Anolis sagrei: one gene and its partners. The protein of the gene in region 4 purifies or fractionates together with the protein of the main gene of each other region. This does not show direct contact. Links are inferred from orthologs where the notes say so. Each region holds a gene or a part of one and is shown on either strand. Other genes may lie near its edges. The genes, in order: EIF4G1, EIF3D, EIF3I and EIF3H.

What was found.
Region 1: the proteins of EIF3H (region 4) and EIF4G1 purify together in Homo sapiens (affinity purification with mass spectrometry; 4 studies listed by BioGRID). This does not show direct contact. The link is inferred for Anolis sagrei from reciprocal best matches to the Homo sapiens genes EIF3H and EIF4G1.
Region 2: the proteins of EIF3H (region 4) and EIF3D purify together in Homo sapiens (affinity purification with mass spectrometry; 10 studies listed by BioGRID and IntAct, counting the BioPlex papers as one, with this or other methods). This does not show direct contact. The link is inferred for Anolis sagrei from reciprocal best matches to the Homo sapiens genes EIF3H and EIF3D.
Region 3: the proteins of EIF3H (region 4) and EIF3I purify together in Homo sapiens (affinity purification with mass spectrometry; 7 studies listed by BioGRID and IntAct, counting the BioPlex papers as one, with this or other methods). This does not show direct contact. The link is inferred for Anolis sagrei from reciprocal best matches to the Homo sapiens genes EIF3H and EIF3I.

Annotation. Positions count from the first base shown.
Region 1 is NC_090023.1:262,549,646-262,557,043, forward strand, and holds the start of EIF4G1 (eukaryotic translation initiation factor 4 gamma 1), read right to left. Parts: upstream 3,023-7,398; 5' UTR 2,912-3,022; intron 1-2,911.
Region 2 is NC_090025.1:166,604,256-166,611,248, reverse strand, and holds the start of EIF3D (eukaryotic translation initiation factor 3 subunit D), read right to left. Parts: upstream 3,008-6,993; 5' UTR 2,883-3,007; intron 160-2,882; 5' UTR 149-159; coding exon 26-148; intron 1-25. UniProt on the Homo sapiens protein: mRNA cap-binding component of the eukaryotic translation initiation factor 3 (eIF-3) complex, a complex required for several steps in the initiation of protein synthesis of a specialized repertoire of mRNAs.
Region 3 is NC_090034.1:83,413,459-83,421,532, forward strand, and holds the start of EIF3I (eukaryotic translation initiation factor 3 subunit I), read right to left. Parts: upstream 3,087-8,074; 5' UTR 2,981-3,086; coding exon 2,978-2,980; intron 279-2,977; coding exon 186-278; intron 1-185. UniProt on the Homo sapiens protein: Component of the eukaryotic translation initiation factor 3 (eIF-3) complex, which is required for several steps in the initiation of protein synthesis.
Region 4 is NC_090024.1:23,341,069-23,348,785, reverse strand, and holds the start of EIF3H (eukaryotic translation initiation factor 3 subunit H), read right to left. Parts: upstream 3,074-7,717; 5' UTR 3,030-3,073; coding exon 2,919-3,029; intron 1-2,918. Other genes in the region: rRNA-processing protein UTP23 homolog, read left to right, coding at 7,268-7,455.

The DNA of each region.
Region 1 (7,398 bases), on a different chromosome or scaffold from region 4:
CAGCCCTTATGAATGCAGTATGTCCTTGGTATACAAAAAAAAAATCTGTTTTAGGACCCCTCACCCACCTATGGATACCAAAATCTATGTGTGCTCAAGTCCCATTATGCACAATGGCCTGGTGAACTGGTGCGCCTCATATAAAATAGCAAAACCAACATTTGTATTTTGGATCTTTATGTAATACTTTCAAGCTCTGGATAGCTGAATCTGTGGATTTTGAGGACTATACTAGTTAATTGGGGGTGAATTTTGTTCTGTGGGTCTATAATCTACAATAAAATGTACAGGAGAATGAACAACAGGATTATTTATATGAAAAAAGTATTGGAGAAGGGTTACAAAACTTGATCTTCCTGGAATTTACATATTAAAAAGTTGAGCTGTACTGATAGGTGACTATGAATCCAAATGCTATTACCACACACTCAGAAACTAATGGAGCACTGGGTTAATTGCTTACCATGAACCCAAAAGCCTTTTGCATATGCTCAGAAACTAGTGGGGAGATATACTGATATGTATCTATGACCTCAAATGCCTTCTGCATATGCTCAGAAACTAGTGAGGCCAGGCGGGGTAATTAATTGTGATCCCAAATGCCTCCTGTGTTTGTTCAGAGACAACCGGGGCTATGAATCCAATGCTGGGGAGCTATATGGGTGGCTATTAATCAAAGTGCCTTTGGCCTACCTTCATAAACGAGTAGGGCAGCGGATTGAAGGGGAACAAAGGACAAGGACCTGATTTAATAATAAGTATGAAGGACTGACAAGTGGCAATGAATCCACATACGATCTGCACATTCTCAGGAATCAACAGGACACCAGATTATGGACTCAAAAGCCTTCTACATATGCTCAGAAACTAGTGATGCCCTGGATGGATAATTAACTGTGACCTCAAATGCCTTCTGTGTATGTTCAGAAACTACTAGGGCTATGAAACGAGGTGCCTTTTGCCTACCTTCAGAAAGTAGGACTGATATGTGACTATGGATCCCAATGCTATTTGCACATGCTCATAAATTAATGGGACACCAGATTGATACATGATTAAGAACTCAAAAGCCTTCTGTATATGCTCAGGAACTAGTGGGGCAAGGTGAACCCCAAGGCCTTCATCAGGGGCTCAAATAGTAATGTGGCACGAACTGTATAAAGCATGAGAAACCATAGTGCCTTCTGCATATGCTCAGAAACCAATGTAACTTGGACTGATGGGTGGCAACAAATCCCAGTACCTTCTGCATATGCTCAGAAATTACAGGGGGAGGGGGGAGAGAATGAATGGCTATGGTTTGAAATACTGTTTTCATGTCTAGAAGTGAGTGCCTTCTGCATATGCTCAGAAACTAGCATAGTGGGGTGCTGGGCTGATAAATGAATCCAAATGCCATTTGTGTATGCTCAGAAATTAATGAAACACTGGATGAATAATTATTATGAACTCGAAAGCTTTCTGCATATGCTCAGAAACTAGTGAAGCCCTGGATGGAAAATTAACTGTGACCCCAAATGCCTTCTGTGAATGTTCAGAAACTACCAGGGCTATGAAACGAAGTGCCTTTTGCCTACCTTCAGAAATCAGGACTGATAAGTGACTGTGAATCCCAATGCAATTTGCACATGCTCAGAAATTAATGGGACGCCGGATTGATAGATGATTGGGAACTCAAAAGCCTTCTGTATATGCTCAGGAACTATTGGGGCGAGGTGAACCCCAAAGCCTTCATCAGGGGCTCAAATAGTAATGTGGCACAAACTAGATAAAGCATGCGAAACCATAGTGCTTTCTCTATATTTATTATTTATTTATTTATTAATGCACTTGTATACCGCTAATATCTCAGCCTAAATCGGCGACTCATTGCGGTTTACAACATTTAAAAAACAATATTCAGTTAAAAGCATAAAACACATATACAGTACAAATTATTGGGCCACCAATAACAATCCTATGCATCTCATAACTGGAATCGTAATCCAAAATTCATCGTCCGTGTATAACCAATCCTATGCACAGGAACCAGTGGGGAGCTGAGTGGATAATTAACTGTGACCCCAAATGCATTCTGTGAATGTTCAGAAACTACCGGGACTATGAAACAAAGTGCCTTTTTATTGTCGAAGACTTTCATGGCTGGAATCACTAGGTTCTTGTGGGTTTTTTTGGGCTATAGAGCCATGTTCTAGAGGCATTTCTCCTGACGTTTCGCCTGCATCTATGGCAAGCATCCTCAGAGGTAGTGAGGTCTGTATATAAACCCACTGTCCTAATTCCAACAGACCTCACTACCTCTGAGGATGCTTGCCATAGATGCAGGCGAAACGTCAGGAGAGAATGCCTCTAGAACATGGCTGTATAGCCCAAAAAAACCCACAAGAACCTAAAGTGCCTTTTGCCTACCTTCAGAAACTAGGACTGATAGGTGACTATGAATCCCAACACAATTTGCACATCAGAAATTAATGGGTCACCGGATTGATTGAGGACTAGGAACTCAAAACCCTTCTGTATATGCTCAGGAACTATTGGGGCGAGACCATCATGGGCTCAGATACTAACGTGGCATGAACTGGATGAGGTCTGAGACATCCAGGTGCTTTCTGCCTATGCTCAGGAACCAGTGGGGAGCTGTAGTGATGGATGAAGGGGAACCCCAGCGCCTTCTGCATATGCTCAGGAACTATTGGGGCGCTGGGTGGTTGGATGTGGTGAGGAAGGCCGCGCCCCACCCGGTTTGGGGGAGGAAGAGGCGGGCGAGGAGGGCGCGAGGCCTAGTCGGGCCTGCCTCTCTCCTGCACGTGGCGGTGGTGGTGAGGCGAGGCCTAGCGCGGCCTGCCCGCCGGCTCCTTCTCCCTCCTCCCCCTCCGGCCGGGTTGGGTCGAGGAGAGGGCCCCCGGCTTACCTGGCGTCTCCTCCTTCAGCCCGACGGAGCGGGGCCCGACGTAGCCACCATTTCCGGAGCCGCTCGCTCCGAAAGGGAGGGAAAGGGGAAAAGGAAGGGGCGGGGCCTGGCGCTGAAGCCGGCCTGCAGAAACAGGAAGTGGCATCCCAGGATTGGGAGGAGGGGAGGGGGGGGAGAAAAAGAGGAGCCGCCCTTCGTCACGTGACCCTCGCCATGCTTTGGCCTCGCAGGGAGAAAAAGGTCGGCCCGGCCCGTCACGTGACCCCCCTCCCTCGCCAATCCCCGGATGTATGCCAAAGTCTCCCCCACAAGCCCCGCCCACCTCCTCCCGTCACGTGATCCTGGAGGGACTTCCGGTTCCTGTTTGCCTTACTTTCCATCATGGCCGGAGTGACACGTGTTTGAGGAGGAAGGAGAAGAAAGGCTGCTCCCTTTTGGAGTCTTTGTTTTCAGTTCAATAGCTATATCTCTCTTTTTTGAATTGGTATAAACATCTAGAATTACAAAGGTCTAGGCAAGGGAAAGGACATGGCCATCAAAGATAATTACATACGTTTTAAGAATTTCAGAGGTTAGGTCATAAACTACTTTGCAATATATATATATCTTAAGAATTTAAAAGATTAGGTCAAAAACTACATTGCAAGAATATATATATATATAAAGAATTTCAGATATTAAGTCAAAAACTATTTTGCAATAATATATATATTAAGAATTTCAGAGACTAGGTCAAAACCTACTTTGTAAGAATATAGGTATATATATAAAGAATTTCAGATGAAGTCAAAAACTACTTTCCAAATTTATATATATATAGATATATATAAAAAATTCTGAGATTAGGTCCAAAACTACCTTGAAAGAATATATATATATATATAAAGAATTTCAGAGATTAGGTCAAAAACTATTTTGCAAGAATATATATATTTAGGATTTCGGATATTAGGTCAAAAACTACTTTGCAAGAATATATATATATTTAGAATTTCGGAGATTAGGTCACAAACTAATTTGCAAGAATATGTATATAAAGAATTTCAGAGATTAGGTCAAAAACTATTTTGAATATATATATAGAGAGAGAGAATTTCAGAAAATAGGTCAAAAACTACTTTGCAAGAATATATATATTAAGAATTTCAAATATTAGGTCAAAAACTACAAATCTATATATATATATATATATATATAAATCAGATTAGGTCAAAAACTACTTTGCAAGAATATATATATTAAGAATTTCAGAGAGTAGGTCAAAAACTATTTTGCAAGAACATATATATATATATATATATATATAAAGAATTTCAGAGATTAGGTCAAAAACTACAAGAATATATATATTAAGAATTTTATAGAGTAGATCGAAAACTACTTTGCATATTGAGAATTTCAGAAAATAGGTCAAAAACTACTTTGCAAGAATATATATATTAAGAATTTCAAATATTAGGTCAAAAACTACAAATCTATCTATATATATATATATATAAATCAGATTAGGTCAAAAACTACTTTGCAAGAATATATATATTAAGAATTTCAGAGAGTAGGTCAAAAACTATTTTGCAAGAATATATATATATATATATATATATATATAAAGAATTTCAGAGATTTCAGAGATTAGGTCAAAAACTACAAGAATATATATATTAAGAATTTTATAGAGTAGATCGAAAACTACTTTGCATATTAAGAATTTCAGAGATTAGGTCAAAAACTACTTTACATATATAGAGAGAGAAAGAATTTCAGAGATCAGATAAAGTGCATTGCAGGAAATAAAATAAATACATTATGAATTTTAAATATTAGATAAACTATTACACTGAAAGAAAATTATATATATAAAGAATTTTAAAGAATAGAAAAAATTACACAGTTTAAAATTTAGATAAATACATTGTGAGAATAAGAATTTTAAAATTTATACCAAATTTACACTGCAAGAAAATTATATATACATTAAGAATTTTAAAGATTAGATAAAATTGCACTGCAATAATATATGAGAATATTTAAAGATTAAATAGTAGTTTGAAGATTAAATAGTAGTTTAGATTTAAAAAATACATTGCAAGGAAATCAAATAAATTTCAAAGATTAGGGCAAAAACTACTTTGCAAGAATATTTATGTCAGAGATCAAATAAGAAAAAAGTGAATTTCAGGAAATAAAATATATACATTATGAAATTTAAATATTAGATAAAAATTACACAGCTTAAAATGTAGATAAATACATTGCGAGACCACATTTTAAAGTTGCAAGAAAATTATATATATACATTTAGAATTTTAAAGTTTATATAAATTACACTGAAATATATATATATATAGAGAGAGAGAAGAATTTTAAAGATTAGATAAATGATTACACTGCAAGAAAATTAAGAATTGTAGTTTAGATAAAAATACATTTCAAGAAAAATAATTATTTACATTAAAATTTAAAGTAGTTAAAAATTCACTGCAATAAATACATAAAATTGTTAGTTTAAATAAATTACACTGCAAGAAAATGTTTATTTATATTTTTACATTAAAAATGTTAAAGTTTAGGTAAAAAATTACACTGCAAGAAAATTGTGTGTGTGTGTGTGTGTGTGTAATAGATACATTATACAGCCAAAAAATAAAAATTAGTAAAAAAATGAGGGAGAGAAAAAAATGACTACAAATATTTAAGTGATAAATAAATAGTTACAGAGATTAGATTAGGAAAAATTAAACTATAATAAAATTTATACAAATAAGGATGGAAAGAGAAAGGTGAATTCGAGAAAACCCACCCAGAGGTACCTGGAGTGACATGCGGTTGAGGAGGAAAAGGAGAAAGAAAGGCCAAATTGACTCAAAATATCTTATACTTGCTGCTTTTTATTGTTTTCTCCCTCTGTTTGCCAGTTATCAATCCGTCTGGTTGCCATAATCTTGTTATTTTTTATGTTTAAGTGCAACCCAGCTTTTGCACTTTCTTCTTTCACCTTGATTAGAAGGCTCTTCAGCTCCTCCTCGCTTTCGACCATCAAAGTGATATCATCTGCATATTTAAGGCTGTTAATGTTAACTGATATTTTGCTTTAAAACAATTAAAGATATAGTTGGGTTCCATGGAAATAAACATTTTAAAGGGTTTCTTGCTGTGTGTGTATGCCCACAATAGGCAGTACAAACAGAATTCGCTTCCAGAATCCCTTACTGGGCACGCTTGAACAGTTATATAGAGCAGTTGCTCCCAAGCTTTTTCAGTCATGGAAGCTTGCTCTAAGAACTTTTCCATCCCACCTCCCACACTGTTCAAAAAAGGTTCCCAGTCATTGACAAAGTTTTTCTGTATTTCCTCCCGATTCCTCATAACCAATTTATTCACTTTCAAACACTTTATAAGAGAAAGTCAGCCATAGCAGAGCACTTGATGAACCAACCTGGACACAGCATATTATTTTCTTAGTGGGTCTGTAGATAGTTTGAAGGTTGTGTTTCTTCATCAGCTTCCCTATGCGGTCAGTGGTTCCCTTGTTGTCTGGTAAGAACACGTTTCCTCTGGGTGGATTTTTGTCTTTACTCTCATGGCTTCCTATCTACAGGCCCACTAAGAAAATCCAACAAATGCTACGTTCAGCAAAGGACAAGAGGGATCCTCTCACCTCTGCAGGAGTCTACCGTATTCCATGCAGCTGTGGACAAGTCTACATAGGGACCACCAAATGCAGCAGCATTGCCCAAACAATGTTATTGGTGTTATTGTTCTAATGTTTATTGTTATTGCTTTAATGTTTATTGTTTTGCTGTATGAGTTTTATTGTTGTATTTGTTATGCTGTTGTTTTATTGAGGGCCTTGGCCTTTTGTAAGCCGCACCGAGTCCTTTGGGAGATGTTAGCGGGGTATAAATAAAGTTAATAATAAAACATGAATCAAGGAACATGAAAGGCACTGCAACTTATTCAACCAGAGAAGTCAGCCATAGCAGAGCAACTGATGAACCAGCCTGGACACCCCATATTATTTGAGAACACAGAAATGCTGGACCACTCTAACAACCACCATGTCAGGCTATACAGAGAAGCCATTGACATCCACAAGCATGTGGGCAATTTCAACAGAAAGGAAACCATGAAAATGAACAAAATCTCGCTACCAGTATTTATAAAACTCTAAAATCAGGACAGTAAATAAAGAACAACACTAAAAAAAATGGGAATTCCAGAGAAGAAATAATCAGGGCCAACTAACATCTCCCGACAAATGATTCCCCCAGGCAGTAAGCAGCCAGGGTTTGAAGCTGCAAGGCCATAAAATGCTAATCAAGGTGGCCAATTGCAACATTCATACTAGACAAGTTTTTTCTCCCATTCTGGACATTCCTCAGATATATAAACCTCACTTGCCTAGTTTCCAACAGACATCACAGCCTTGGAAGATGCCTGCCATAGATGTGGACAAAACATCAGAAGAGAAAGCTTTTGGAACATGG
Region 2 (6,993 bases), on a different chromosome or scaffold from region 4:
TGTAAAAAGCTACAAGTGAACATACCTTCCCCAGACGATCTCCTTTGCTGAAGGGCTGATAAGGCATATCTTTGAACTGCTCAGGGATAGCACATGGACCCCATCCTGATGGATTGTCTTGGATCACAGGTATCATGAACCTCGCCATCTTTTATATTTCTAGTAAAAAAAAGAAAAGAAAAGGTAGAAAATGATGTTCTCACAATTATAAAATACAAAGGCATTTTGAAATACTAAGATCAGCTGATAAGGTGTTTTCATGGAGCAGACTAAAATATCTTTTAAAATACCTTCAGACTATGTGCACAATTGTGTATATGAAACATAAATTAATTTCATGTTTAGACTTGGGTCCCATCTTCAAGATATCACATCATGTACATATAAGCAAAGACAGTTATTCCCAAAGGTGGATGAAACAGAAATCTCAAACACTTCTGGTCCCTAATAAGGAATACTCAACTTGTATAAAGGAAATAATAATAATAATATATTTATAACCTGCCCTCTCTACCTAAAGGGATTCTGGGTGGTTTCCAAAGTATAACAAAAATGGCAAACATTCAATGCCAAGAACAAAAATAATACTAAATTTTTATTATTTATTGGTTGTAGGTTAGTGCTTAAAGTATCAGCACAACCTTACACTTTCAAGGAAGGATTTACAACTGACTGCATAAACAACATCCTGAATGTGTATCAGAAATAACAAATCCAATACCAAGCAGCACAAAATTTTACATTCTCAGAGACTCTTTAAAAAACACCACCTCCTTCAATTTCTACAAGTTTATTAAACACAGCTCTTTGATGAGATCCAATCCATGATCCACTGTTCATTTTTGGACACATGAATTGAGAATGTAGAATTAGGTAAAAGTGTTTTTTGAGGAAAAATTTCAAGTCATTCAGCTGCACTGAATACCACAGAGTCAGCACTTAAAGTCCTGTATATCTTTTTTTCCTGCTACCCTATAACAACCAACCTTCTTATTAACAAGCATCACTAAAATCTTCTTAAGATGTCAATTATAGTCCTGGATACAAAATCATTTTAATCACATTCCTGTGGCCACTGTCGCCCTGGAACTGCATGAAACTACGCAGAAAAGCAAGAGGAATGGAGTGCAAGGTTTTTCAGTCAGCAGGCATACAGAAAAGTCCTTCTATATTATAGTATGCTAATAATATATTGTATGTACGTATAATATTGATCATAATACTGTAATACAATATAATACTAATAATACAATATAATAACAATAATTATATATTACATGTAAAATTACTAATAATATTGCAGCATAGAAGTATAGTACAATATAGTAAGATATAATACTAATATTGTGCTATGCTAATAATACAATATATTGTATGTACATATAACTTATAAGTTGCTCTGAGTCCCTTTGTGGTGAGAAGGGCGGAATATAAATGTCGTAGATACATTTATTTATTTATTTACAGTATTTATATTCCGCCCTCCTCACCCCGAAGGGGACTCAGAGCAGATCACAATATACATATACACGGCAAATAATCAATGCCGTTTCTGAAATAATTCTATAATGCAAACTATCCCACATATGATTAAACACCGCATAACTATTATCCTGTTTAATGACAGTGTGAATGAGAAATGTGTTTTATAGATCAATACTATTACATACTAAAAATGCCTAATTTCTCTTTGTCATTTCTAGCATTTTGCAAAATGAGTGTGATGACGTGTTCATTCCTTTTGAGCATGTGATAAAGAGACCTAGGGCTCCATCACACTGCAGTATAGCTGTATAGTACAATATAATACTAATATTGTGCTAGTTAATATAATAAGATTATTAAGAATATATTTGGACATAACTTAATAAAAACCCGGGTGCCCCCGGAGGCACAGTGGGTTAAACCACTGAGTTGCTAAACATGTTGACCGAAAGGTGGCAGGTTCTAATCCGGGGAGTGACATGAGCTTCAACTGTCAGCCCCAGCTTCTGCCAACCTAGCAGTTTGAAAACATGCAAATGTGAGTAGATCAATAGGTACCACTCCGTCGGGAAGGTAATGTTGCTCCATGCGGTCATGCTGGAGGTGTCTACGGACAACGCCGGCTCTTCAGCTTAGAAATGGAGATGAGCACCAACCCCCAGAGTTGGATATGACTGGACTTAATGTCAGGGTAAAACCTTTACTTTTTAAAAAGAATTAAGAATATGCTACTTTCTAAAGAGCCTAAGCTCTTACAAAGAGCAGTACAAAATAAAACATTATACCAACACAATACAAATATGTCTACTTTGTACTATGCTTTTGGCAACACATTCATCGTCACAGGTATTATTCCATGGCGATATCCTAAAAAGTCCTGGGATTTGCAGTTTAGGGAGGCGCATGGATAGTTCTCAGCTCTTGAGACTCACTAAACTATACCTCCAGAATGCCAAGGACTGTTGCCATGGCAGTTAAAAGTGGAATAGTAGTGCTATAATAGTGTAGTGTGACATGACCCTTAATGACCAAGGGAGTATCTAGAGCAGGTATGGGCCAACTTGGGCCATCCAAGTGTTTTGGACTGCAACTCCCACCATTCCTAACAGCCTCAGGCCCCTTCCTTTTGCTTCCTCAGGGGAGGAAGGGGCCTGAGACTGTTAGGAATGGTGGGAGTTGCAGTCCAAAACACTTGGATGGCCCAAGTTGGCCCATACCTGCTGTTGAGCCTGGAACAGGGCTGAAATGGGCCTTCCCCCTCCGCCGAATCCATTCAGCAGCCGCCGCCCTTCCCTCGAGGCCCGGCAAGACTACAATCCAAGACTCGGAGGGAAAAAATACTGGCGCCGGAGGAGAGCGAAGGCTCCCCGGTCCTCCCCCGTGGCCGCCTCGCTCACCTCTAGGACCCCAGTGGGCCCCGATGGCAGCGGATTCGGCCCCGAAAACACCGACGACAGATAAACCACCTTCCACAAGGATTGCGCTTTACGGCTTCCCCGGCTTCCGGCGCGGCGGCCCTGGCTCTCATGACACGTCACTCCAGCGCGACGCCAAAACTGTCGCAAAAGCCGAGTTAGGAAAGGAAAGGCCTGGCAGGGACGTAAAAACGCTGGGTTCTCTCTCTCTGTGTTATTTGCATTCAGTGCCTATCGCCTGCGGATTTATGGCAACAACGCCATGAATTTTATAGCTCTTTTTTTTTTTAAAGGAAAGGGATTCTCAGAGATGGTTTTGCTAGTTTCTTCCCCCCACAGCACCTGCCTTTTGTCAGTGATCCCCTCCCTCCATCCAATTACAAACCAGGGCTGATCCTGCTTAGCTACCAAGATCAGACAACCTGGTGCCTTTTGGGCTATTTTAATTTGTGTTATTGCAACTAAAGGCAGTGTGCTGCTTTACAATCTAGGAAATACAATAAATACTGCAAGTGTGTGTATGGAATAGATCAAAAGGTGCATCTATGCCGTAAAGTTAATGTAGTTTTATACCACTTTAGCTGTCTTATACCTGTTTGGGTATCAGCCAGCACGTCAACGACTTAAATCTAGAAATAGTTTTCTAAGATCTACAGAGACACTAGCTGGAACACCTCAGCAAGCGAGAGTCCAAAAGTAGCAGGCTCAAACCCAGCACCTCAACCAATGGCTGATACTCAATGAGAGACTCCCTACTGGGCACACAGAAGACTGGGAGACTTGGAAGGCGCTAAAGACACTGCGTTCTGGCACCACGAGATGCAGAGCCGACCTTCAGAAATGGGGCTACCAAGTGGAATCCTCGACATGTGAGTGTGGAGAAGAGCAAACCACTGACCACCTGCTGCAATGCAACCTGAGCCCAGCCACATGCACAATGGAGGACCTTCTTGCAGCAACACCGGAAGCACTCCAAGTGGCCAGATACTGGTCAAAGGACATTTAACCAACTACCAAACTCACAAGTTTTGTATTTGTCTGTTTGTTTACTTTGTTCTGTTAGAAATGTAATATAATGGACTGGTTGCTCTGACACGACAAATAAATAAGCTGTCTTAAGATCAAGGCTAAGGATTTGTGGGAGTTGTAGTTGTGCAAGGTCTTTAGCTATCTCTGCCAAATAGTATTGGTGCCTCATCAAACTGCCTTACCAAACTACAAATCCCAGAATTCCATAGCACTGAGTTATGGCAGGAAGCGGTGTCAAACTGCATTAATTCTACAGTGTAAGAGCACCCCTATGTACTGCACCATTACAATCCTATTATTTTACTGTAATAGCAGGTTACTGTGGAATCATGGAGCCCCCGGTGGTGCAGTGGGTTAAACCCCTGTGCCGGCAGGACTGAAGACCGACAGGTCGCAGGTTCGAATCTGGGGAGAGGCGGATGAGCCCCCTCTATCAGCTCCAGCTCCTCACACGGGGACATGAGAGAAGCCTCTCACAAGGATGATAAAAACATCAAATCATCCGGGCGTCCCCTGGGCAACATCCTTGCAGACGGCCAATTCTCTCACACCAGAAGCGACTTGCAGTTTCTCACGTCGCTCCTGACATGACAAAAAAACAAAACAACAACAACAAAAAACCTGTGGAATCCAGGGATTTGTAGTTTACGGAGAAGCATTTAGATTTCTCAACCAGAAAGATCTCTGACCTCATTAGACTACAAACCCCAATATTGCATAGGGTGTTGCCATGGCAGTTAAAGCAGAATATAGTGCTATAATGGTTTAGTGTAGTAAGGACCTAGAATCATTGAGTTGGAAGAGACCTCGTGGGCCATCTAGTTCTAACCCCCTGCCAAAAAGCAGGAAAATCGCATTCAAAGCACCCCCACAGATGGCCATACAGCCTCTGTTTAAACGCCTCCAAAGAAGGAGCCTCCACTATACTCCGGGGCAGAGAGTTCCACTGCTGAACAGCTCTCACAGTCAGGAAGTTCTTCCTCATGTTCAGGTGGAATCTCCTTTCCTGTAGTTTGAAGCCATTGTTCTGCGTCCTAGTCTCCAAGGCAGCAGAAAACAAGCTTGTTCCCTCCTGCATATAATTTTCCTTCATATATTTATACATAGCTATTATGTCTCCTCTCAGCCTGAGTGTAAACCTGAGTGTAAACAAAAAAACAATATAATGAAACACAATGTATTATTGTACAGCCGCATCTAATTGCACTGGAGTGACCATTCGTAGTCAAAGGGACCACAACATTGGTATTCTAAAATTTCTGATTTTACTATAATTTCTGATTTTGATACAGTGGGGCTTCACCAACTACAGCTCAAAAATATCTGGGGAGAAAAATTCCAAAAAGCAAACCTATTTTTGCCTCACTATTTTACTATACCATTGTGTAGTGATTTCAGCTAGGACCGCAGTCAAGGGAGGGATTTGACCAATGTCCCCTTTCCCAAGAGATTACGCAAATGTTACATTTTGATATGTATAACAAACAGATTATACACTTCATATACTAAATTGATACAGTTCTTGTTGTTCATTCGTTCAGTCGTTTTTGACTCTTTGTGACCTCATGGACCAGCCCACGCCAGAGCTCCCTGTCGCCATCACCTCCCCCAGCTCCTTCAGAGTCAAGCCAGTCACTTCAAGGATGCCATCCATCCATCTTACCCTTGGTCAACCCCTTTTCCTTTTTCCTTCCATTTTCCCCAGCATAATTGTCTTCTCTTAGCTTTCCTGATACAGTACACAGTAAGAAAGATACAATTTACATAGAAACCATCAAATAGTTACATTTTATTAAAGGGTTCAGAACTGATAGAGTTTGTAGGGTACAGCTGTCACCCCAATCTCTTAAAAGGTGCAAGTGTAGAAACACGGCCAGCAAAGTAACAAGGTGTTTATTAGTCTCAGAAAGAAAGTTTTATTCTGAAAAACTATCAGAAGAAGTAGAAAAAATACAGAGAACTGGACCTCCAGTGATGCTACCGAAATTCAGGAAGCCTGAGCAGTGACAGTACATTTGCTTTTATAGTTTCACAGTTCTGCGCCACCTTTTTGGGGTGTCACTCAATCATTGTCAAACTCAAATAGGTTAAATGTAAATGGGGCAATTTCACATCATGGTCCATGTCCCCACCATGTAGCCTCCCTTTGTACAGTTTGTATCAGTAGGAACCCTTCATCCTGATCTACAATCTGCAAGGTGAGCGGATAATGAAGGTCCATTGTGCAGTCTTTTATTTTTCTTATTTCCTCTTTGGGTTGGATGGGAAGAAAGAAGTCAATTAAACATCACAATAATTGTACGTACATCAGAAAGGGATAAGGAATAGTGAATGGACCAATGGAACGGCTACAGACTCTATTATGGATTTGATTTTAATAACTTTTAAAATCGTGTTGTTTATTGGTGGGTTTTAATATAAATGTTATTATTTTATCAATGTTTAATTGTTTATTCTTTAAGTCTAAATGTCATTTTATGTTTATTTTTTAATTTGGTTAGGTTAATTTATAGTTATATGTTATCGTCTTGCTATTATCTTTTGGTTTTCACATGTATGTTTGGCATTGAATTTTACCTTTATAATGTTGGAAACCACTTTGAGTTCCCTTAGGGGGAGAAAAGCGGCATATAAATGTAATAAATAAATAATTAAATTTCAGCCTCAGCATGATGTCCCAAATATGTGTCCTATGCAGCAGTCCATGGAGGCATCTGCTATTGAACTATTCTTCCTCCTCCTCATTGTTACAGGAAAACTGTACATACTGTATTTACTCAAATCACCTTTTAAAGCTAAACTACCTTGCCAAAATCAGGATGTGTATTAGATTCGCGTAATAAGATAATCTTGCTGAGCCATAGCAAAAGGGTAAGCTGCTTCAGGAGCAACTGGAGCTTCTATTTGCGGGGTGTCATCTGTAATTTCATTGTCATAGCTCAATGCTATGCAGTCCTGGGATTTTTAGTTTGATGAGGCATCTGCACTCTTTTGGCAGAGAAGGCTCAAGGCCTTGTAAAACTACAGCCCCCATAACCCCATAGCATTGAACCAAGGCAGTGAA
Region 3 (8,074 bases), on a different chromosome or scaffold from region 4:
GATGTGTATGCCAAGTTTGGTCCTGATCCATCAAGCCATGGAGAAGGCTTTGTGGTACAAACCAACATGCATATTCTGATTTGTAGATCGACAGACAGATGCTGCAGTAGAACATTTGTGATTTTCAATTCCTTTATATATACACATAGAAGTGGGGTGTGTGTGGAAATATAGAAAATCATTACCGGATCTTTGGCGACCGTGAAGAGTAGATCTCCTTCCCTGTTATATTTGATCTGAGTAATAGACCGCTCATGGCCCTGCAAGAGGATAGGTTTCTGTGGGAAGAAAAGAACAATGTGCTTTAACACAGTCTGAACCATACTGCCTTGTAGAGATTTCATTCCTTTCTCTGTTTTTGCTCTCTGAATCTGCAAAGCTGTATCTATTTTTTGGAGAAGGTATAAATAGCAGTACATTTCTTATAAAACATAGCGCACCAAGAGATAACATGATAACATGTATCATATAAATTAAATATCCTATAACATACATGGATAGAAACACAAACACAGCTGTAGATTTATTCCTATTATTATTGTTATTCATACTCCTATCATTCCTAATATTAGTAGTATTCCTAATAATAGTAATAATAAACTTTATTTATACCATGCCACCATCTCCCATAGGGATTCGGGGCAACTCACAAAGCACACAATGGTGCCATACAACATAAAATACAATATATCAACATTAAAAACCAATAACACATTTAAAACTAGGCATATTAAGTTAACAAGAGCAACATAATCAATAAAATATGGCAATAATAATTAATTAAAAGATCCATACAATCAATTTAGACTTCCCTGGCTAAATATAGTAATCTGGTTAGTATCTTAAACATTATCAAAGGCCTGCAGAAAGAACCAAGTTTTTAGCTCTTTCCTATGATTATTATCATTATTATTATTCCTATTCTTATTATTAATCCTATTATTAGGAGTATTCCTATTATCATTATTATTCCATCCAGATAATGGAACAGTACCTTATTCCTATTCTTCCCATTATTATTTCAATTATTATTCCTATTGTTGTGAGGCCTATATTTAAAAAGCCACCCCTGATCCCTTCTATAATGGAGAGTTATCGGCCAGTGTGCACCCCTCCCCTTTCTGAGCAAGGACTTGGATCATGTGGTGGCCTCCCAACTTCAGGGATTTCTGGGTGAAATGGATTATCTAGATCAATTTCAATCTGGTTTCAGGCCTGGCAATGGAACAGATACAGCTTTGGTTGCCTTGGTGAATGACCTCCGCAGAGACCTAGATAGGGGGGAGTGTGTACTCTGTTAGTTCTCCTGGACCTTTCAGCAGCTTTCAATACCATCAACCATGGTATCCTTCTAGGTTGTCTCACAGGGATGGGATTGGGAGACACTGTCTTGCAGTGGCTCTGATCCTTCCTGAAAGGCCGTACCCAGAAGGTAGTGCTGGGGGACCCCTGGCTGTTGACCTGCGGGGTTCCTCAGGGTTCCATTTTAACCTACATGGTGTTTAACATATACATGAAACTGCTGGGAGATGTCATCCAGAGTTTTGGAGTATGATGCCACCTATACGCAGATGACATCCAACTCTACTACTCCTTTCCACCTAATGCCAAGGAAGCTGTTCTGACCCTAAACCAGCATCTATAATCAGCAATTATTTATTTATTTAAAACATTTATATTCCGCCCTTCTCACACCGCAGGGGGCTCAGGGCAGAGCACAACATATATATGGAAAACATTCAATGCCAGGACATAAAACCATAAATATATACAAACATTAAAATCACTTATATTCACATTAAAAGTTGCTTAAAAACCATCTCAGGACACCATTTTGCCTCATTGCACTGCCCCAAAGGCTTGGACCCACAGCCAGATCTTCACATTCTTCTGAAGGACAGGAGGGAGGAGGCTGATCTAATATTGTCATAACCGAGGGGCAATCACTGAGAAGGCCCTGTCTCTCATCCCTGCCAAACGCGCCTGTGATGGTGGCAGGGCCGAGAGCAGGGCCTCCCCAGAAGATCTTAGTTTCCGCAGTGGTTCGTAAAGGGAGATGCGTTCAGACAAATAAACTGGGCCTGGGATGTTTAGGGTTTTATAGGCCAAAGCCAGCACTTTGAATTGTGCCCGGTAGCAAACAGGCAGCCAGAGCAGCTGACGTAACATGGGAGTTGTGTGCTCCCTGTTAGCTGCCCTAGTTATTAACCTGGCTGCTTCTCTTTGGACTATTTGAAGCCTCTGAACCGTCTTCAAAGGCAACCCCACGTAGAGCATGTTGCAGTAGTCTATCCTGGATGTAATGAGAGCGTGGACCACCGTGGCCAAGTCTGGCTTCCAAAGGTACGGGCGCTGCTGGTGCACAAGTGTTAATTGTGCAAAAGCCCCCCTGGCCACCGCTGCTACCTGAGGATCCAGACTCAGCGATTAATCCAAAAGGACTCCTAAGCTGCGAACCTGTGCCTTCAAGGGGAGTGTAACCCCATCCAGCACAGGCTGCAACTGACCAGGATGACCTCGGATGAGGGCAAACAAATTGAAACTTCATCCAGACAAGACAGAGGTAGTCCTGATCAGTTGGAAGGCAGACCACGGAATAGGGATCCAGCCTGCGCTGGATGCCCCCCCCCCCCCCGAAAACACAGATTCAAAGTCTGGGGATCCTGCTGAAGCTATCGGCAGCGGCCAGGAGGGCCTTCGCACAATTAAAACTTGTGCACCAACTGCGCCCATTCCATGAGAAGCCAGATCTGGCAATGGTGATCCATGCCTTAGTTATATCCCATCTGGAATACTGTAACGCGCTCTAGGTATGGCTGCCTTTAAAGAGTGCTCAGAAACCTCAGCTGGTCCAAACACCTGCAGCAAGGTTGCTCACTGGGGCTGGCGATAGGGAACGGAGAGGCCCAGGCCCAGACCAGGCTGGATTGATCCACTAAACCGACTCATGGGCAGCTTCAGGGGAAGAGGGACTCACCATGGCTGCGGCAAAGGAAGGCCAGGCGGCGCAGAAGAGGCCAGATGAACCACTTCCGGCACGAGACCGGAAACGGAAAGCCGAAACCAGGTGTCCATAGAGATATAAAAAGAGAAGAGAGCCTCACACTTCCGGTTGACAAGAGCTGCGCCAAACCGGAAGTAGGACTTGTTTGCGTCAGTCTAGCCCTCTACTCTATGACCGGTCGCCATGGCGTCGCTGGGTGAGAAAGGAAGGGGGGGGACTTTAGTTTCATGCCCACGTGTATTAGAAACGGTGTGGGTCCATGGCCACCTTCGGCCTCTGTAGAAGCAGTGCGTCCCAGAGCTGGGAGGGATTCCCAGGGGTCACGCAGTCCAACTACTTTCTGGAGGCAGGAAAAGCACAACCAAAGCCCTCCCAACAGATGGCCATACAAACTCATAAGCAGGCTCATGGAGAAACAGGACTCAAAGAACCCTAGAATTGGAAGACAGGGACCCCAAAGGCCATGCAGTCCAACCTCCTTCTCCTATTATGCAGGAAGGCACCATCCAAGCCCTCCTGGCAGATGTCCATCCAGCCTCTGCTGAATATGAATAATATTATTAATAATAGAATCCTAGAGTTGAAAGGGACCCCAAACGCCATACAGTCCAACTCCCTTCTACAATTATGCAGGAAGGCACCACCCAAGCACTCCTGGCAGATGTCCATTCAGTCTATACTTAATATAATAATAATAATAATAATAATAATAATAATAGTAATAAGAGAATCCTAGAGTTGGAAGGGACCCCAAACGCCATACAGTCCAACTCCCTTCTACAATTATGCAGGAAGGCACCACCCAAGCACTCCTGGCAGATGTCCATTCAGTCTATACTTAATATAATAATAATAATAATAATAATAATAATAATAGTAATAAGAGAATCCTAGAGTTGGAAGGGACCCCAAACGCCATACAGTCCAACTCCCTTCTACAATTATGCAGGAAGGCACCATCCAAGCCCTCCTGGCAGATGTCAATTCAGCCTCTGCTTAATATATTAATAATAATAATAATAATAGAATCGTAGCATTGGAAGAGGTCCCAAAGGCCATCCAGTTCAACCTCCTTCTGCCATTATGCAGGAAGGCACCATCCAAGCCCTCCTGGCAGATGTCAATTCAGCCTCTGCTTAATATATTAATAATAATAATAATAATAATAATACGTTCAACCTAATAATAATAATACGTTCAACCTCCTTCTGCCATTATGCAGGAAGGAACCATCCAAGCCCTCCTGCAGATGTCAATTCAGCCTCTGCTTAATATATTAATAATAATAATAGAATCCTAGCATTGGAAGAGATCCCAAAGGCCATCCAGTCCAACCCCCTTCTACCATTATGTAGGAAGGCACCACCCAAGCCCTCCTGGCAGATGGTCATCCAGACTCTGCCTAATATATTATCAAAAATTGAGGCCCTAATGTCTGGATTGGGCTATCTGAAACCCTCACCTGTTTGGAATGCCAATATCCCTCCACAAAGCTTATCTTGTGTGGTGATTTTAATGCTAGAATTGGAGCGGGTGTGAAACAAGTGGAAGGCACTAACTTTGGACAAGATGGTCAGGTTACATCTGCTGACAGGGTTTCTCAAGACATAATCAGAAACAAGTCAAGTTTGGGTTGTTGTAGGTTTTCTCAGGCTATATGGCCATGTTCTAGAGGCCTTAGGAGAGAATGCCTCTAGAAAATGGCCATATAGCCCGAAAAAACCTACAACAAACCAGTGATTCCGGCCATGAAAGCCTTTGACAATACAAGTCAATTCTCTTAGAACTTCTCTCCTTGCATCCATTGCACTACCTCAATGGAACCCAGCATGACATAACGCAAGCTGCCTATACCTATGCCACCAACAGGGTACACAGGTATAGTACAATTGATTATACGGCAGTTTCTGCCAGCCTGCCTGAAAATCCCTTCAGGGTAAGAGGCACAGAGTATAATGTGGTAAATAAATAAATAAACACAAAAGAGAGTGGGACTATGAGTACCTTTAATCTAGACACTATATTATTTATGCAGCCTAGAATCACATTGGCCTTTTTCGCTGCTGCATCACAGTGTTGGCTCATGTTCAGCTTGTGGTCCACTCAGACTCCTAGACCCCGTTCCCATGGACTGCTTTCAAGCTAGGGGTCACCCATCCTATATCTATCCATTTTATGTTTATTGTCAAAGCGTCATATTATACATTTGTCCCTGTTGAAGTTCGTTTGGTTAGTTATTATGTTTATTTACACACTACTTTTTCCCTCCACAAGAAGCCTTACATTTTGAGTCCCCCACCCCCACTTTGAGTCCCCCCAGGGGTGAGAAAGGCTGTATATAAATACTGTAAATATTTATTTATTATTGATTTATTTACTTTATTTATATACCGCTTTTCTCAGCCCTCAGGCGACTCAAAGCAGTGAACAACATCTATACAAAACATCACGAGACAAGTATAGGGCAATTAAAAACAATTGTAACATAAATCATTAAACATCAGTAAATAAATAATAATAATAATTTTGATCCATCCTTTTAATCTCCCATGGTCACTTTGGATCCTGATCCTGCCTTCTAGAGTCTTAGCCATCCCTCCCAACAAGGTCCCATTTTCAAGTGTATAAACCTCCCTTCTATTCAGTTATCTAAGTCATCAATCGAGACTTTGAATAGTCCTGAATGGCCCAGGACTGGGCCCTCTTCTTGGCACTTCTCTCCAGGAGGAAGAGGGGTTTCTCGAATACTCTTTTGCAAAATCCTTCCAAATTACCATTACAATGATTATTAGAAGTTTCCTTTCTTGCAGGTGAACTAAGTGCCTGTCTCTTGGTGGCCCTTCTTTGGGGAGGGACCAACCCATTTTTGAAAAAGGGAACAGAAGGCCTGGAGCAAGTGAAGAAGGAGAGACGAAGCCTGCAGCTCCTGGCAGAAATGAAGTTCCTTTGCTTCAATTACAAGGTATTTGATAGTTCCCCCTATTAATATACTTACAAAAATAATAATAACTGTCTAATTCCCAGTAACTAAAGCACACAATTCTACTCTATCAAGTATACTAGGCTGACTGTTTTCCAGTGCTTGCACTTCTAAGACCTCTGGGGTTTTATGTTACATGGGATAATATTCTGTTTTGTTTGTTAATGCCTCACTATAGGCCATTTGCACACAAAGAAGTACAATATACAAGCACAACAATCCAAAAACATACCAAAGTACTTCATAAAACAATTGGAATACAGATCTCGCCTATTACAATTCAATACCATTAGAATACAATACCATTAAAATACAGTATCACACATCAAATGCATACAACGATATTAAAATTTAGATTAGATAAAATTCAATGCACTAAGAGCATCCTCATAGCGGTTCACTGCAATATCAGCAATGCATCTAGCCCAACATTTCATTGCTGCCAAGACAAAAAATGTGTGTTGTCATAGAATACATGGTTCTAGAGACAAGAAACAGAACAGTATGCATTTTAAACATTTTTTAATTATTGCAGTTGAAGATACTGGCTTGATTTGTCAAAAAATGACCCCTCCACTCCCTAAAATATGAATTTAAACATTATTTCTTGTGTGTGTGTGTACAGAATTAATATAACTTCCGCAGCTGCTGAGATTCAAAAGGTCCGATCTTGCTCAACAGCTAACCCCAAAACTGCCCAGAGCCCAGAAACCCCTAGAGGATTCATCTAATCAACTGCCAAGGCCAACAGCCCCATGGAGGTGGAAGAGAGATGTTCCTCAGACAATAGGATAGCCCCACACCCCTCTCCTGTAGAGTTTTGCCCTAACCAACACACTCTGAGGCTCCCTTTAGATCTGGATTCATGGAGATGATTTCTTGCTGAGAGATGGACGGGAATGAGGTGGTGGTGGTGGTGGGGAGACTCAGGTATTTATACTGTGAGGATTAGGATGCAATGGCAGAGAGCAGCCACAGAAATGTTCCCAATGCACCCAAAAACTATATGTTTTATTTGAGAAACTCTGGGGGTTTGTACATCTGGGAAACTGGTCCAGTGTCCTGGGAGAAAATCCCCTCAGGGAGGCAAAGCAAACAGGAAAGGATCCTTTTAAGATGTAATTAGGATCAGGGTCCAGGCAAATATCTAGGTGTTTCAGAACTATCAGATATGAACTCCGTCTTAATAGAATTTGTATTGTTTTCTATTTTTTCCATTCAGCTGTCTATATTGACCTAAGCCTTCCGATTATGTCAGAGACTAGCTCCTTTTGTGGACTCATATAATCTAGTCGTGGATTTTTTGCATTGCCCCAAACCATATTATTATTCCTGAGGCAGCACTCCGAACGGCTCCAGCTTCAAAGGAACCAATAGAAGCTCTCAATTCTTCCCGCCACAAAGGAACTCTGCCCACCTCTGAAATCTCAGGGAGTCCCCAGCCAATGAGAGCCCAGATCCTGGCTTGACCATTTCTGAGCCAATCAGGGGAAGGAGTGGGTCATTTGAATGGCTGTCAATGGGGATAAAATGCCTTGCACTGTCTTACATGGTGATTCCTTTAGAACGGAGACTGTGTATCAGACATCCTTTCCACTCCTTAGATGGCCAACTGATTTTGGCATCAATACTGCCATTTCTTCTTCTTCTTGCAGGTTGTGGTGCCATTTCTTCTCAACTAGTGTGGTTCCTTGGTCTACTATATGACTTTATATATGAATTTAAAATATGAATTTAAACATTATTTCTTGTGTGTGTGTGTATATAGAATTAATATAACTTCCGCAGCTGCTGAGATTCAAAAGATCCGATCTTGCTCAACAGCTCACCCTCAAAACTGCCCAGAGCCCAGAAACTCCTAGAGGATTCATCTAATCAACTGCCAAGGCCAACAGCCCCAGGGAAGTGGAAGAGAGATGTTCCTCAGACAATAGGATAGTCCCACACCCCGCTCTTGTAGAGTTTTGCCCTAACCAACACACTCTGAGGCTCCCATTAGATCTGGATTCATGAATATTATTTCTTGCTGAGAGATGGATGGGAGTGAGGTGGGGGGACTCACGTATATATACTGTGGGATTAGGATGCAA
Region 4 (7,717 bases):
ACAGCTGGAGGGCCAAAGTCTGCCCATGCCTGACCTACATGTACTGTAAGATAGAAATAAAGCCCGGCTGCTCATTGGAGGGAAGGATATTAGAGGTAAAGATGAAGTACTTTGGCCACATAATGAGGAGAGAGGAAAGCTTAGAGAAGGCAATGATGCTGGAGAAAATGGAAGGAAAAAGGATGAGAGGCTGGCCAAGGGCAAGATGGATGGATGGCATCCTTGAAGTGACTGGATTGACTCTGAAGGAGTTGAAGGTGGGCGACAGCTGACAGGGAGCTCTGGCGTGGGCTGGTCCATGAGGTCACAAAGAGTTGGAAGAGACTGAGCGAATAAACAACAATAGGATGGATGCTTGCCTTTTACCATTCTACTCAAAGAATAGAGTAGATCTTTTTATTGTAGGTGTTAAGGTTCAGTACTTGTTTTGTTGTGCTATTACCAGTATGTTTATTTACACACCACTTATTCTCTCTCTTATTATGTTTATTTGTACCCCACTTTTTCTCTCTATAAATGAGGGGCCAACCAAGGGCAAGATGGATGGATGGTATCCTTGAAGTGACTGGCTTGACTCTGAAGGAGCTGGGGTGGTGACGGCCAACAGGGAGCTCTGGCATGAGCTGGTCCATGAGGTCACAAAGAGTTGGAAGAGACTGAGTGAATAAACAACAACAGGTTGGATGCTTGCCTTTTACCATTCTACTCAGAGAATAGAGTAGATCTTTTATTGTGTTAAGGTTCAGTACTTGTATTGTTGTGCTATTACCAGTATGTTTATTTACACCCCAATTTTCTCTCTCTTATTATGTTTATTTGTACCCCACTTTTTCTCTATATAAATGAAGGGCCAACCAAGGGCAAGATGGATGGATGGTATCCTTGAAGTGACTGGCTTGACTCTGAAGGAGCTGGGGGTGGTGACGGCCAACAGTTAGCTCTGGCGTGGGCTGGTCCACGAGGTCACAAAGAGTCGGAAGCAACGGAGTGAATGAACAACAACAACAAGTAAAGAGAACCAATGTACTGTAGTACTTTGAGCATTGGGCTATGACTCCGGGAAGCAATGTTCGATTCCCTGCTTGGCCATGGAAACCCATTGTGTGACTTTTGATGAGTTACAAAACCTCAGAAAAACCCAGGATAGCTTGACTTTAGGGTTGTCTTAAGTCAGAAATGATTTGAAAGTATACAAGAGGTCATGAAGAGTCGGAAACGATAGAACAAATAAACAACAACAAACAGATATCCATCCAGTTTGACCCCCTTTTTATCTGTCCTGGCTCAATACCATGGGATACTGGGAGTTGTAGTTTTACTAGGTCTGTAGCCTTCATTACCAATGGGAGTTGTAGTCCAAAGCCTCTGGAGAGTACTTCACCTTGTTGATGGGAAGCTTCCCACCGGAGTGGGAATCATCTATCGGACAGATGGCAAGCTGTTTAACCTCAGCAGACTGAAAGCCAAAACCAAGGTTACAACAACATCTGTTATAGAACTCCAGTATGCTGATGACAATTTCATCTGTGCGCATTCAGAAGAAGATCTACAAGTCACTCTAAACACCTTCGCAGAAGCATACATGAAGCTTGGCCTGTCACTGAACATCGAGAAAACCAAAGTGCTGTTCCAGCAGTCACCGGCCATCCCCTCCCCAATGCCAGAGATACAGCTTAATGGTGTAACATTAGAAAATGTTGACCATTTCCACTACCTTGGCAGCCACCTCTCCACCAAAGTTAACATCGACACCGAAATACACCACCGCCTGAGCTCTGCGAGTGCAGCATTTTCCCGAATGAAGCAGAAAGTGTTTGAGGACTGGGACATCCATAGGGATACCAAGGTGCTTGTCTATAAAGCTATTGTCCTCCCAACCCTGCTGTATGCCTGCGAAACGTGGACTGTCTACAGACGTCACATGCAACTCCTGGAACGATTCCATCAGCGCTGCCTCCGGAAAATCCTGCAAATCTCTTGGGAAGACAAGCGGACAAACGTCAGCGTGCTGGAAGAAGCAAAGACCACCAGCAAGACCACCAGCATTGAAGCGATGGTCCTCCGCCATCAACTCCGCTGGACCGGCCACGTTGTCCGGATGCCTGAGCAGTCTCCCAACGCGGTTGCTCTACTCTGAACTTAAGAATGGAAAACGGAACGTTGGTGGACAGGAAAAGGGATTTAAAGATGGGTTCAAAGCCAACCTTAAAATCTCTGGCATAGACACTGAGAACTGGGAAGCCCTGGCCTTTGAGCGCTCCAGCTGGAGGTCAGCTGTGACCAGCAGTGCTGCAGAATTTGAGGAGGCACGAGTGGAGGTTGAAAGAGAGAAACGTGCCAGGAGGAAGGCGCGTCAAGCCAACCCCGACCGGGACCGCCTTCCACCTGGAAACCAATGCCCTCACTGTGGAAGAAAATGCAGAGCAAGAATAGGGCTCCACAGCCACATGCGGACCCACAAGGAACCCATAATGGAAGACCATCTTACTCGTCCAACGAGGGATCGCCTAAGTAAGTAAGTATGTCCTGAAATAAAACAGCGAGCTATAAATACGGATACCTGTTGCTGGTTCACAATGGACTTGAAATTGGATCTTATGGTGTTAGGTGGGAATGGGGTTGTTGTTTTCCCCCCTTCTGCATCCAAGAGGAATTATTTGAGGCATCTACACCAGGTAAGGGCCAAACTGGGCCTTCCAGGTGTTTTGGACTTCAACTCCCACAATTCCTAACAGCCTCAGGCCTCTTCCTTTCCCGCTCAGCCGCTTAAGCGGCTGAGGGGGAAAAGGAAGAGGCCTGAGGCTGTTAGGAATTGTGGGAGTTGAAGTCCAAAACACCTGGAAGGCCCAGTTTGGCCCTTGCCTGGTGTAGATGCTCCCTCCTCCTCCCCCAACTCCTCCTTCTCCCTCTTCTCTCACCAGGCCGTCAATCTGCACTTGCTTCACGGCAGAGTCGCCCGGAGCTGACTTGCCCTTCACTTTGGCGACGGACGACGAAGGAGCGCCGGCTGCTTCTTTGCGCGACGCCATCGCTGAGAGAAAGAGAGAGTGAGCACGCCTACCGGGAAAGGGAGAGAGCGGAAGTGCCTTCCACCGCAATAATAGCGTCCGGGCGGAAACCAGGAGCCCATGAAGAAAGGTTCCGGGAACGAGACAAGTTGGGCAAAGAGGAGTGGTTGCCAAAGCATGTGCACTTGGTTTTATATACTAATAAATAGATACAAACACGCTTATACACAAGCGTGTTTACTAAATATTAGTGCACGTATATCTAAATATATATTTAAATATAAATTATATTCTAAATATTGTACAATATAAATACAACACATGAAAATGTATTTTCTTCTATAGTATTATACAGATTTAGATATATCGTTTAAATATATAATAATATAAATTGTATTTTAAACATTGTAGAGTATAAATACAATATATTTCCATTGTGGCGCAGCTGGCTGAGTGTCAGCTGCATTAAGATCACTCTAACCAAAAGGTCATGAGTTCGAAGCCAGCCCAGGTTGGAGTGGGTTTCCAACCAATTGTGTGTAGCCTGTTGTCGACCTTTGCAACCCGAAAGACAGTTGCATCTGTCAAGTAGGAAAATTAGGTACCACCTTAAAGTGTGGGGAGGCTAAATTAACTGATTTATGAGGACATAAAGAAGACTCCAGCAAAGCATTCCAGCGGGGAAGCGTGCAGGGAATGCGGAAGTGCTTCATCAGCGTCACAGATGGACAATGAAAGCAACAGCTCCCCTAACGGCCAGAAAAAGTTAAATAGCCTCTGTATATGTCTGTATATGTTTGCATGTCAAAAATTGGCATTGAATGTTTGCCATATATATGTGTACACTGTAATCCGCCCTGAGTCTCCTGCAGGGTGAGAAGGGCAGAATATAAAAGCTGTAAATAAATAAATAAATAAATTTATATTTATTATTTCTTCTCTATTATTATACAGATTTAAATATATTGTGGATATATATATGCATATATATAGAACCCCCCGTCCTCCCGGTGGCGCAATGGGTTAAAGTGCTGAGCTGCTGAGCTTATTGACCGAAAGGTCACAGGTTCGAATCCGGGGAGCGGCGTGAGCTTCCGCTGTCGGCCCCAGCTTCTGCCAACCTTGCAGTTCGAAAACATGAAAATGTGAATAGATTAATAGGTACTGCTCCGGCGGGAAGGTAACAGTGCTCATACAGTCATGCCAGCCACATGACCTTGGAGGTGTCTACGGACAACGCCGGCTCTTCGGCTTAGAAATGGAGATGAGCACCACACCCTAGAGTCGGACAGGACTGGACTTAATGTCAGGGGCACAACCTTTACCTTTACTATGTTTGTTATTTGTGCCAGGATTCAAACAGGGGTCTCCTAGCACAAAACTTAAAAAAACTACACCACGCCAAATCTTCATTTTTTCAGAATTTATATCCCATCCTTCTCAGCCATTCACTGCCACAAAATCCATTAAAAATAACAGAATGACAGGAATGGGGTTGGAACAGTATCAACTGTCTCCTAAACAAACAGGATCAGAATCCAAAATGACCTCAACAGATTAGAGGTGCTCACCAATAGTTCATCCAGGAAAAAAGTGATTAGTGGAGTGCTGCAGGGTTCGGTCCTGGGCCCAGTGCAGTTCAATGTCTTTATTAATGACATGAATGAAGGTTAAGAAGGCATGCTTTTCAAGTTTGCAAATGACACCAAATTAGGAGGGACAGCTAATACTCCAGAGGACAGGATCAGAATTCAAAACAACCTCAAGAGCCAAGAGAGCTGGGGCAAAAGTAACAAAATTAATTTCAACAAGGACAAATGTAAGATATTACACTTGGGAAGAGCAAAATGAAATGCAAAGATACAAAATGGGTGATGCCTGGCTTGACAACAGTCCATGTGAAAAAGATCTTGGGAGTCTCCATGGACAACAAGTTGAACATGAGCCAACAGTGTGATGCAGCAGCTTAAAAAGCCAGTAAGATTTTGGGCTGCATCAAAAGTACATAGTGTTTAGATCGAGGGAAGTCATGGTGCCTTCTCTATTCTGCTTTGGCCAGATTTCACCTGGAATACTGTATTCCATTCTATGCACCACAAATTAAGAGAGATATTGACAAGCTACGAAGTGTCCAGAGGAGGACTAAAATGATGGAGAACAAGCCCTATGAGGAGCTGCTTAAATAGCTGGGCATGTTTAGCCTGCAGAAGAGATTGAGAGGAGACATTATGGCTTGTATAAATACGTGAGGGGAAGTCACGGGGAGGTGGGAGCAAGCTTCATTTCTGCTGCCCTGGAGACTAGGACTCGGAGCAATGGGTTCAAATTATAGGAAAGAACCTATTACGATGAACTTCCTGACTATAAGAGCTGTTCAGCAGTGGAACTCTCTGCCTCGGAGTGTGGTGAAAACTCCTCCTTTGGAGGCTTTTAAAAAAGAGGCTGGGTGGTAATCTGTCAGAGATACTTTGACTGCGCTTTTCCTGCATGGCAGGGGGTTGGACTCTATGATTCTAAGAAATGACAATAAAATACTGAATTGGCCACGTTTATATTGTAGAATGAACTCATGTTCTAGAACAGTGGTTCTCAACCTGGGGTCCCCAGATATTTTTGGCCTTCACCTCCCAGAAATCCTAACAGCTGGTGAACTGGCTGGGATTTCTGCGAGTTGTAGGCCAAAAACATCTGGGGACCCCAGGTTGAGAACCACTATTCTAGAAGGATTCTCTGCTAACGTTTCTCCTGCATCTATTGCAGGCATCCTCAGAGGTTGTGAGGTCGGCTGGAAACTAGGAAAATGGGGTTTATATATCTATGGAAAGTCCAGGGTGGGAGAAAGAACTCTTGTCTGTTGGAGGTAGGTGTGAATGTTTCAATTGGCCACCTTGATTAGCATTTCATGGCCTGACAGTTTTTAGGTGAGGCTTGTTACTGCCTGGGGTAATCTTTTGTTGAGAGGTGATTAGCTGTCCCTGATTGTTTCTTGTCTGGAGTTCCCGTGTTTCAGTGTTGTTCTTTATTTACTGTTATAATTTTAGAGTGTTACTGCCACCGTGGACTTTGCACAGATATATAAACCCAATTTTCCTTGTTTCCAACACACCTTACAACCTCTGAGGATGCTTGCCACAGATGCAGGCGAAACATCAGGAGAGAATCCTTCTAGAACATGGTCATACAGCCCAAAAAAACTACAATAACCCAGTGATTCCAGCCATATTTATTTATCGTGTCAGGGGCAGACCAAACAGTTGTGTTGCATTTTTTAACAAACAGACAGACAGACAAAATACAACATTTGTGAGTTTGGTAGTTGGTTAAATGTCCTTTGACCAGTATCTGGCCACTTGGAGTGCCTCTGGTGTTGCCGCAAGAAGGTCCTCCATTGTGCATGTGGCAGGGCACAGGTTGCATTGCAGCAGGTGGTCAGTGGTTTGCTCTTCTCCACACTCGCATGTCATGGATTCCACTTTGTAGCCCCATTTCTGAAGGTTGGCTCTGCATCTCGTGGTGCTAGAGCGCAGTCTGTTCAGCGCCTTCCAAGTCGCCCAGTTTTCTGTGTGTCCAGGGGGGAGTCTCTCATTTGGTATCATCCATTGAATGAGGTTCTGGGTTTGAGCCTGCCACTTTTGGACTCTTGCTTGCTGAGGTGTTCCAGCAAGTGTCTCTGTAGATCTTAGAAAACTATTTCTTGTTTTAAGTCGTTGTCGTGCTAGTTGATACCCAAACAAGGGATGAGCTGGAGATGTCTCTGCCTTGGTCCTTTCACTATTGGCTGCTACTTCCCGGCGGGTGTCAGGTGGTGCGATACCGGCTAAACAGTTGAAAGCCTTCAATAATAGAACAAACTCAGTTTGACAACACTTTTAATAGCCAAGGCTGTAGATTTATTTTAGAAGCCGTGGTTTCAGGCAGTTGTTTAACTAACTAATGCTATGAAATATTGGGAGTTGTAGTTTCAGAAGGTCTTCAGCCTTCTTTGCCAGTGTGCTGGCTCCTTCCTCATCTGGCTATACATCCCAATATTCCACAGCATTGAGCCATGGCAGTTAAAGCGGTTTAAAACTGCATTACATCTGCAGGCAAGAATATCCAAGGATAAGCACGTGAGCCAGTTTTGGGCCAGTTTCCTCTAGATCCCACCGCGCATGCGTCGAATGTGTGCTCCTTCCGGCGCAAGAGCCCTACTTCCGGATGGGAGGGAGGGAGGCCCGGCTGTCTGTTTCCCTCTCTATGGTCCCTTCCCGGCCTCCGCCATGAAGATCACGCGGCAGAAGCACGCCAAGAGGAACGTGGGCTTCTACAAGTACAACTTCGGCTTCCGGGAGCCCTTCCAAGTTTTGCTGGACGGGACCTTCTGCCAGGCGGCGCTGCGCAACAAGATCCAGATCCGAGAACAGCTGCCGGGATACCTGGGCGGCGCCACGCAGCTCTGCACCACGCGGTGAGTTGGACAGGAAAAGGAGAGCACCACCAACTCCTCAGAAAGCTGCCGCTCCTATTGGCTGGAGCCGGGCATTCGAATCGGGGGCTTGTGCTGGACGCGGCCTCTGATTGGCCGGAACAGTTCCTTCTCTGAGAGCTGATAGGCTGCAGAGAAGTGTCATTTTATTTCACCCAGCCTTGAGGAAGCATCCCTGTTCTGGAATCCCAAATAGCTTCTGAGTGCCCTTCAACGCACCTGAAATCGAATTATATACAACTAG